3 separate regions of the Mus musculus genome follow, and regions 1 and 2 are each reported to be linked to region 3. The links are microRNA targets in miRTarBase. Many come from high-throughput screens and were not tested one by one. Region 3 holds a microRNA gene; each other region holds the end of a gene's coding sequence.

Region 1 (3,257 bases), not on the chromosome of region 3:
CAGACTGTCAAAGTAACTCACAACCTATGTTCATCACAGCACTAGGCAGACTGAGGTAGGTTGACTGTCACAAATTCCAGAGTAGCCTGTGCTACAGTGAGACTTAATCTCAAAAATCACGAGCTGGAGGAATTACTGTGGTCAAGAGCACTGATTGCTATCCCAAAAGAGCTCAATTCCCAGCAACCACATCATGGCTCATGACCTTAAAGTACACACACACACACACACACACACACACACACACCCCATGTGTTTGGATCACCTGGAACTGAGTTACACACACACACACACACACACACACACACCCCATGTGTTTGGATCACCTGGAACTGAGTTACAGACCTACCTTTCAACTAAAGAATACTGGGCTTGTAAAGATTTGTGGCTCACTCCTGCCCTCTGGTGGATAGACACTTGGACACAAGAGCATTCTGGCCATTCTGCAAATCTTTTCTGTGGGCCTACTGTGCGTGCTCCAGTCCCCTTTCCCAGTGCTGTGGGAGTCTCAGGGGAGAAGGGAAGGAAAGGCTCATAGTGCCTGGTAGTCTACAGGTCATACCACACCGGTGAGGCAGTCCTGCGGCTAGTGTGAAAGGTGAGAGGTTCAGAGAGCTCCCAGGAACATGTCTGGGAGGTGCACTGCACCGAGCTAGGGCTGGTTAAAATGTTTTTTCATTCTGTTGTTCCCTGAGATAGGATCTCACTGTGCAGCCCTGGCTGGCCTGCAAGTCACCATGTAGACTAGCCTTGCCTCAGATTTTGGAGATCAGCTGCTTGCTGTCTTCCAAAGGCTGAGCTGGGTCCTGAGTGAGAAGCAGTTCCCAGAGGACAATGCCCTAAAAGGGGGATGGATGAAGGGTCAGAATCTTGCCTTTGGCTGATTTCAACTGATGCAGCTCACTGCACCATTTTTGCATGTTTGTTCATTTGCTTATTAACTTTATGTTTTAGGTTACACTCTTCTGTAGTATGCTGAGTTGGCTCTCTCCTGACAGCAGGTAGCATGCTGTAGGAATTAAAACTGCCAAGCTTGGTGGCTAGTGCCTTTCACGGCTGAGCCATCTCACCAGGTCATGCAAGTTTACTTTCTCACGCGTAGCCCAGACTGGACAACCATGTGCTTTGTGTGTGCCATCGGCATTAGGCATGTGTACTGTGCCTGTGTACCGTAGGACCCAGAGGATGCCCAGTGGCCTGCTCTATCATGCTTCATGTTATTCCTACTCACAGTCTCTCAATCTGAAACAAGACCTGCAGCCACCAAGCCCCAGGGACACGGTCTTATCTCCAAAGACACCGAGGTTACAGGAAGTGCACACGGCCATGTCCAGCATTTTGGTGCTGGTATCTAAACTGAGGTCTTCTCAGGCCTCTGTATCGAGAGCTATCCTCTCAGTCCACCACCCTTAACTCCAGAATTAAATCCAACTTTGGGCCTGGGATTTGCAGATGTGGCACCACACCCAGTTTATGCAGGGTAGGGCTAGAAGCCAGAGCTTCCTGAATGCTAGGCAAACACTCTGTAAACTAAGTCCTTTAATTCATTTTCACCGAGACAGTGACTCACTGGTCAGCCTAGCCCGGCCTTGAACACATGACCCTTCTGTTTCATTCATTCTTCAGAATGATACATGTGCTTTAAAAAAAAAAAACAAACAAAAAACAAAAAACAAACATTGCTGGAACTGAAACCACGCTAAGCCAAGCTCTGCCACTAAACTCTAGCCAGAGCCCCAGGCTACATTCTTTCTAACAGGAGAAATCCTCAAAGTTGCTCCCCAGGACTGGAGAAAAGACTCAATGTTGCAGAGGACACTGTGTTCACTCCAAGTAGCCACATGGTGGACTGAGGGCCACTGGGAACTACAGTTCTAAGAGATTCTGGCCTCTGCAGCCACTACATGTACACGTACAGAACACTCATACACATAAATTAAATTTTAAGCCAGGAGTGGCTCATGCTTTTGATGCCAGCACTCAAGAGGTAGTGAGTGGCACGTGGATATCTGAGTTTGAGGCCAGCCTGGTCTATATAGTGTGTTCCCAAACAGCCAAAGATACATACAAAACCTATCTCAAAAAGACATTCGGGCGTGCGAGCGTACACACACACAAATAAAAATTTAGAATAAGATGTTCCCCTAGCAGAGGCAAAGTCTAGTGTGAAAGGCCACATATATCTCATGCCCAGGTTACCCTCAAACTCGTGTCCTCTTGTCTCCATGGAGTGCTAGGGGGAGAGGGGAGACAGAGGGAGGAGTTAGGGGAGGCTGAGACAGACAGTTGGAGAGACACAGAAGGCCTAGGACTTCTGAAGGGTGAGGACAGGGCAAAGGCATGGATGGCTGTTAGCACTCCAGTTCTCCCCACCTAGGTTCACCCTCTGCCTCAAACAGCACTGAACCAGCGGCCTCCAGCACCTGGAACTGTTTATTGGACATTGTTGCCAGTTGCAGGACAGGAAGCTAGACAGAAGAAAAACAGTGACCATAGACCCATAGGGACAGACCTTGCCTAGATGGGGACATTTGTATCCCCAACCCGGTGGACCAACCTGGCAACTGCTGCCCCTCCCCAGGCCCCCAGGACTTTGGCATAACGCTGATGGGGGTAGGAGGCTGCAGACAGCAGAGCCCCTCAACCCGAAGCAGAGAGTCTGATGAGCGCTGGGGACAGGTGGGAGGAGAGGGGACACGGGGCAGGCCATGGGCCAGGATGTGAGGAGCAGCACAAGTGAAGAAGTTGGGAGCTAGGGACATGGTGGCTAAGTTTCCTTTTCCGGAGAAGGGTCACGCACTGACGTCTTTCTCGTTGCCCGCTTTGGGGACGGCTTCCAGCAATGGGTCCCCGGGGCCCGCCTCCTCCCCCTCCTTGGCCTCACCAGACTTGGAGTTGGGGACCCAGAGGCCAGAATCGATGCAACGCTGCATGTGATACTTGGCATCCTGTGGAGAGAGGGAGGACAGCAGATGAGGCCATGCCAGCAGCATGATGCCCAGTGTCCCCTGCACCTCCTTCAAGGCTGCTCAGCACCCACTCCACCCAGGACTGGTAATATAGAACTGCAGAAGCTAGCATGTGACTCAGCGGGTGCAGCAATTGCCCAGTGTTCTGAGACTCTACCATTCCAGCACCACAGACAAGCAGATATGGTGGTACACACTTGTGATCCCACCAATTAGGAAGTGGCAGCAGGAGGGTCAGGAGCAAAGGTCATCAGTTATGTAGCACATTTGAGGTCAGCTTGGGCTACA
Region 2 (3,257 bases), not on the chromosome of region 3:
CCAGCAAGAGAGAAGAGGAACTTAAGACATAAGGAAAGAGGTGGAGCAATCGGCTGGGCTGCCATTCTGCACACACACACCCAGGCTTCTCACACAGCAGAAGAAAAGGAGCTGAAAGGCACCAGGAACCCAGGGCGAGGGGAGACAGGGAGGCTCGGCTCTGAGGGTCTGCTTCCTGTGTCTAAGGGTCACCGACACATTGCTGCTGGGTTTGAAGTCCAGTGTGTCTTCCTCCACTGTGGGATGGGAAAAGTAGATCGGTTTCCCAGCCACATGTGTGTGTGTGTGTGTGTGTGTGGAGGGGCGGGTGCGTGCCATGCTGGGTGTGGTCAGAGGCTAGCCTTCAGGAGTTGTTTCTCTCCTACTATATATGTCCTAAGGCTTAACTCAGGCCATCGGCTTGCCAACAGCACCTTTACCTGCTAAACGTTTTTTGCTGGCCCTTAAGCCCCCCCAAATTGTTTTTGAGTCCCATTTGGATGAGATTGCTAGAGTAGCCCTTTAGGATAGAGGTTGAGCCCCTACAGCAACTGAGGCTAAGGTTCCATCCCCAGGTGTGAAATCCTGTGAGCCTGGGCGATTGGAGGTGGAACCTGTTCTCTCGTCCTCCGTCCTCCTTCTCATCTGGTCACTGAAGTTCAGCCATTGTTCTCCCCAAAGCAGCCAACTCTCTTTGGGCACATTTACAGAAAAGCTCCTCTCAGAATCTGAACCCACAGACTCAGCCTCCTGTCAGAGTTTACTGAATGGTGTCTTTCTACAGAATAGAAGCCATCCTATCCTGCTGACTTGCAGTCTGAAAACTATTCAGTCCTCTTTGCAGGAGGCTCCTCGAAAGTCCAGAGGACGTTTCTCCCGAGGGAACTCGCTCCTTAAGCTTTCAAACAGGGATGTGACTAGCACTCCCGGGCAGCATCGTCACCTGGGTGCAGAGCCTGACGGTAGGTATGTCAGGAAGCTTGTGAAAGAGCCCAGGGGTGGCTATCACAACTGAGGGCTGAGTTCTCCACCTGGGGCTCTTGATGGAAAAGCTGTGTCGCAGCCCCAGATAAAGCACTCCTGAAAGTTGTGAAGACCAAGATGCAACTGACCACAGAATATCAAACCGCTCTCTACCTGTCTCCTCTCTCCATTTCCACCTACTCCCAAGCATCTCTCCCCTTTCCCAGAGCCCTTTATTGCAGCTTGGAAAGCTTTAGCTTTTAAGCCTAAACCGACACAGGCCACAGGTAGCACTGTGGACAGCTACCGGCTTCAGCAACTGTTGTTCCCAGGCCTTCTCGGTGATGGACACCTTGGGGGAGGGGAGTGTTCCCCAAACTCGGCATTCATTCAGAGCGACCCAGTTACATTACAGATCTAATGTGCTAAAGTAAAATAATGGGGTTTTCTCTGTACTTCTGCAATTGTGATTACATATGGCTTGAGGAGGCTGAGACGCTAGCGGGATTAACCGCGCAGGTGTGAACTCTTGGAAGCAGCTAAATGCTTTGAAATCCGCTGTGACGAGAAGCCTTAGCTAGAGATCTGATTTGTACCTATCGATATCAGCATGTCTGCCTTCGTGACACTGATTTCAAAGAGAATTTTGCATTCTGCCTTAGAATGCACACTGGCTATTGTGTTTGAATTCAATGAGCTGTGTGTGTCACAAGCCAGACTGTACTAGGTTATGTACAATTAATGTGTACCCAAGAAGAAGAAAAAATTAGCAACACTACTGGAGATACTGCAAAGTTGCCATAACAACTGCTTAGATATAACTTCCCTCTCTTCTTCCTGAAAGTGTATCTTAAAACCCTTCCATAACTTGATGCAAACAAGGTAAATCCATTTCTTCTCACATCTGAAAGCAAAGATATCCTTGTTTACATGCGAGAATAGTAAGTCTATAAATAACAGTCTGGCCCTAGGAGCCAGGACTTTATATCAGGACGTAAGAGTGAAATGGCAGAGAAAGGACCAGAGAGACCTGTACGCTGCTACAAATGCAAAATCCAAGTGGAAGCTTTCTCTTGTAAAGTATAGCTAGTATAGTGAAGCTAAAGAAATTACTCAAAACACTGGGCTTCGGGTCACTAGGAGAGGAACAACAAAAACAAAGCCATTCTACTGCAAGAGATACAGATCAAAGGTTAAAAGGCAAATGACCCTACGTGTATATAAAGATGTAATTGCTTCCTGCCCTGCGGTTGGCAACATGCAAGGGTGACAACACCATTTGCACTGGCCATAGAGAAAACATCATGGAAAAAAAAATAAAAAGAAGAAGAAGAGACTGAAGAACCCCGTTTCCCCTTTTCAGCCTCATCATTTGGTATCTCTGAACACGGTCCAGATTTAGACTTTCACCATCAAAGAACATCATGCTGTCTACAGTTCGACAGTACCTCTCAGTAGGGCGTTGTGGCAAGGCTAGCTAATTTTAAATCTGGTACGAGTAATACAGTCAAACCTAGTTAGTATGCGAGAGAGAGAGAGAGGGGGGGGGGAGAGAGAGAGAGAGAGAGAGAGAGAGAGAGAGAGAGAGTCGTTGCTAACGCAGGGTGAGAGGATGTGATGTCATGGCATGAATAGTCCCTGGTTGTCCCGTTGTCAGATAAATGTAGTGCATAGATCCAAGTTTCTACTCCAGGTCTCTGGGACCCAGTGCCAAGCCTTTCACTTCTGCTGGGTGGCCTGGAAGGCCTTCAGCTCCACTTGATACCACTCGGGGGCTTCAGGCCCACTCTTCCCCGGGGGGCTGTGGTCATAGCCGTAGGCAACGGTCAGCTCTTCCTCGGCCTCCACAGCTCGCAGGGTGCGGATGCACTTGATCGGCCCGAAACGGGGGTGGACAAACCTAAACATTAAGACGGGAAAGGTCACTCTTGGGTCAACCGAGGACCTCAGTGCCAAGGGAGCGGCTCACCCACATGCACTGGGTGTCACTCCCGAGTTCTCAGAGAAGGGGCACACCCCCACCAGCTTCAGCACCCACTCTAGGCAGTCTGGGGTGGAAGGCTCAGCTGGTAAAGTGTTCATCTAACACATATGGGGCCCAAGGCTCGTCTCAGCATAACCATAAACCAGGCATGGTGGTCCTAGTGCTCGGGAGGTGGGGGAGGGGAATCAGTCTCTTGGCTTCATAGTGAGTCTGAGGCCAGACTGGGATTATACAACATCCTGTCCTAAAATTAAAACCCCAAATCTCCCAGAACACCCCAGCACATATTGGAGAGAGAGGTCAGAGGACAACTTGGAGAAGTCGCTCCTTT
Region 3 (3,257 bases):
TACATTTCAAATGTTTTCCCATTTACCAATATCCCCCCCATCCCATCTAACCTCCCCCTGCTTGTGTGAGGGTGTTACCTCACCCACCCACTTACTCCCAATTTTTCTCCCTGGCATTCCCCTACATTTGGGGCATCAAGCCTTCACAGGACTAAGGGCCTCTTCTCACATTGATTCCCAAAAAGGCTGTCCTCTACTATATATGCTGGTGGAGCCATGGGTCCCTCCATGTGTACTCTTGGAAGGTGGATTAGTCCATAGCATGTAGGGGTTCTGGTTGTTTGATACTGTTGTTCTTCCTATAGGTTGCAAACCCGTTCATCTCCTTCAGTATTTGCTCTAACTCCTCCATTGGGGACCCTGTGAACAGTCCCAAGTCTTTTCTAGGAGTATGACAAAGTCTCTAGGATATGATGGGACATGTTCGGGCAGTACAAAACAGTTAACTAATGTTGATGATGCATAGGTGACTTAGATATTTTCAGGACTTCTTTGTCTGAAATAAATCTCACTCATACAATATTTGTGGTGATATAATTTGGTTTAAACTTCAAACATGTGAGAGATAAACGTTTTTGATAGCAGGATGCATTGTAACTGTCTGGACATCAATGTAACTTAGGGTGTATTCACCATAGAATTGTTTACTGTAAAATGTACAGGTTAGAAAACAAAGGTAAATAATAAAAGCAAATAAGCCATATATACTAAATGTAGTAAAGTTGTCAAAAAAGAAAATAGTAGTCAACATATTGCATTGATACAGAGATGAGTATTCATTTAAAGAAAAAACATGAGTAAATGTACTTTCAGGGAGAATTTTGATGGTGAGAGAATTTCCTGAGTAGAACAGGATGAAAGCTATTTCTTTATGTATGTTATATTATGTTTATTTATGTTATAATTACAGTTGAAAGTATGGGGAAGGGTAAAGATACGTGAAATCAGCACTATATACCAGGCTATAGTCTTGATTTGTTTCAGTCCTATAAACACATGAAGAACAAATCTTTGTGTAAAAACAAGAATCATCATGCCCTGAAATTGTGCTCTGGGTGTAAATGGCAGTATATATGCAGTTACTTTCTTTTACCCAGGAGCATTAGAACACTAATTTTATGTACAATAGGGGGAATAGGTACCAAATTCATTGATGACTATTTCATAATTTAGTGATAAAATGGCTAGGGAATTTGGGAAAAGGCATAAGTTTAAAATAGTATTTTGGTTTTTTTTCTAGGGTTTATGAGTAAAGGTCAGTTAATAAATTCTACACTCTATGGAGTACAGTGATAAAATTACTAAGAGTGATGGATCTAGCTGAGGCAATACCTACTTTAAATTGTCCTGTATTTATTCAAATTCTCTCATTCTCTGCATCCTGCCCAGTTCTGGGTCTGTGTTTTTCCATCCACTGTAAGAGGAAACTTTAATTATGGCTGATCAAAACACTGGTATGCGTATAGGAGAACATCCTTAGGAGTCATTTAATTGTACATTTAGAAGAAAAATAGAACATGCGTTTCTTTCCTAGGCCCATGACTTAGATTCTTGACCCCAGGATATGGGTTCCATCTTGTACAGCAGGCCTTAAACCCATTGAGAGATTAATTAGTTACTTGCATTGCATTTGTGCCACTATTTCACCAGTACAGCATGTAGGCAAATCACCATGTAGAGCACATGGTTTGTAGTTGTGTTGATGGTTACATTTATCCTCTGGTATCATTCAGAGTAACTTTCAGTACCATGAATGCTGATTAGTAGAGGTGCTGATTCTACAGGTACCACTCTGACTTCCTTGTTCAATAATATCACCTTATGAAGAGTTTTTGCAATTTACAAAATATTTACAATAGCCTAAGTTGTTTGCTGGAGGAAACCATTTGGTTAATGATCCAACTAGATATAAACAGTTCATCATTGCATGTTTCACTTGATGGTGAAAGTTGTAATGTGGAGAGCATGGTTTCCCTATTATTTAGTGACTTTGTTTTGATTCCTCATATGTGTATATATATTAAAAGAAACTTCTATAGTAGTAGGATTCTGTATGACCCTTTACTTGGCCCTTAACGGCTATGATTAGAGGTTTGATGAAGCTAACAAGACTGTTTATGAATGTTTGAACATCTCCTTAAAGGCTTTGTATGCAATGCCCTATTTAGAATGGTGCTGATCTGATGAAATAAAAAATTGATCAGGGCCTTTCTAAGTAGAGTAAGGCTTACCAACTATACATTTAATATGACTTGTAGATGAATGTTCAGAATATCTGTAGGTACATGTAATGTGCCTTCTGTAATTATAGGTGAGCTTCCACATGGCCACATTCTTTTTTTTTTTACTTCTATTTATTTATTTATTTATTTATTTATTTATTTATTTATTTATTCTTTCCTCATGTATTACATCCAGACGTTATCTTACTTCTTTCTACACACCTCATAGCCCCTGCCCTACACTTCCCCTGTCCACCAGATCTAATTCTCTCCTCCATTTCTCTTCACAAGAGATCAAGCCTTCATATTTGCTCTACAGTAGATAATATTTGTCTAGAAATACATCCATTTATTTTAGGTTTCATTCTTTTTTTTAATTTTATGAGATATTTTCCTCATTTACATTTCAAATGCTATTCCAAAAGTTCCCTATACTCTCCTTGTACCCTGATCTTCTATCTACCAACTCTCACATCTTAGCCTTGGCGTTCCCCTGTACTGGGGCATATAAAGTTTGCAAGACCTAGAGGTCTCTCTTCCCAATGATGCCCAACTAGGCCATCTTCTGCTACATATGAGCTCTGGGGATACTGCTTAGTTCATATTGTTGTTCTACCTATAGGGTATGGTCCACTATGTTCATAGCCGCCTTATTACAATAGCCAGAAGGTGGAAAGAACCCAGATGTCTCCCAACAGAGGAATGGATACCGAAAATGTGATACATTTATACACTGGAGTACTACTCAGCTAATAAAAACAATGAGATTATGAAATTCATGGGCAAATGGATGTATCTGGAGGATATCATCCTTAGTGAAGTAACCCAATCATGACAGAAGTGGTTAGTTATGCACTCACTGAGCATCGGATAATAGCCCATAAGCTTAGTATACTCAATTTGTAAAACACAAGAAGAGGGAAGACCAACTGGTGAATACTTCTTTAAGGTTTCTAATGTAATTAAATAGAAGGTTTTAACATAGTCCATGTTTTCCTGAATTTCACCACTCTCTGTTCTGTATTTTATTTTATT

The links. Region 3 holds the annotated microRNA mmu-miR-465b-5p (UAUUUAGAAUGGUGCUGAUCUG, at 2,162-2,183, shown strand). A microRNA usually pairs through its seed, bases 2 to 8, with sites in the 3' UTR of a target mRNA and lowers its output. Matches are read on the target gene's strand: a 7mer-m8 pairs with bases 2 to 8, a 7mer-A1 pairs with bases 2 to 7 and ends in A, and an 8mer does both.
Region 1: miRTarBase lists Cdc37 as a target of mmu-miR-465b-5p. The part of its 3' UTR that is shown has no 7-base or 8-base seed match.
Region 2: the mRNA of Setd7 is a reported target of mmu-miR-465b-5p. Seed matches in the 3' UTR shown: 7mer-m8 at 2,339-2,345.

Annotation. Positions count from the first base shown.
Region 1 is chr9:21,137,016-21,140,272 of GRCm38, forward strand. Cdc37 (cell division cycle 37) reads right to left here. Exons shown (of 8, transcript NM_001378796.1): 8 at 2,416-2,948. The coding sequence ends at 2,793. Among named protein-coding and RNA genes, the nearest start is that of Tyk2, 7.4 kb to the left of the region's middle.
Region 2 is chr3:51,518,646-51,521,902 of GRCm38, forward strand. Setd7 (SET domain containing (lysine methyltransferase) 7) reads right to left here. Exons shown (of 8, transcript NM_080793.5): 8 at 1-2,842. The coding sequence ends at 2,662. Among named protein-coding and RNA genes, the nearest start is that of Gm36008, 9.3 kb to the left of the region's middle.
Region 3 is chrX:66,834,737-66,837,993 of GRCm38, reverse strand. It overlaps Mir465b-2 (microRNA 465b-2), which reads left to right and starts at 2,152; the gene lies at 2,152-2,230.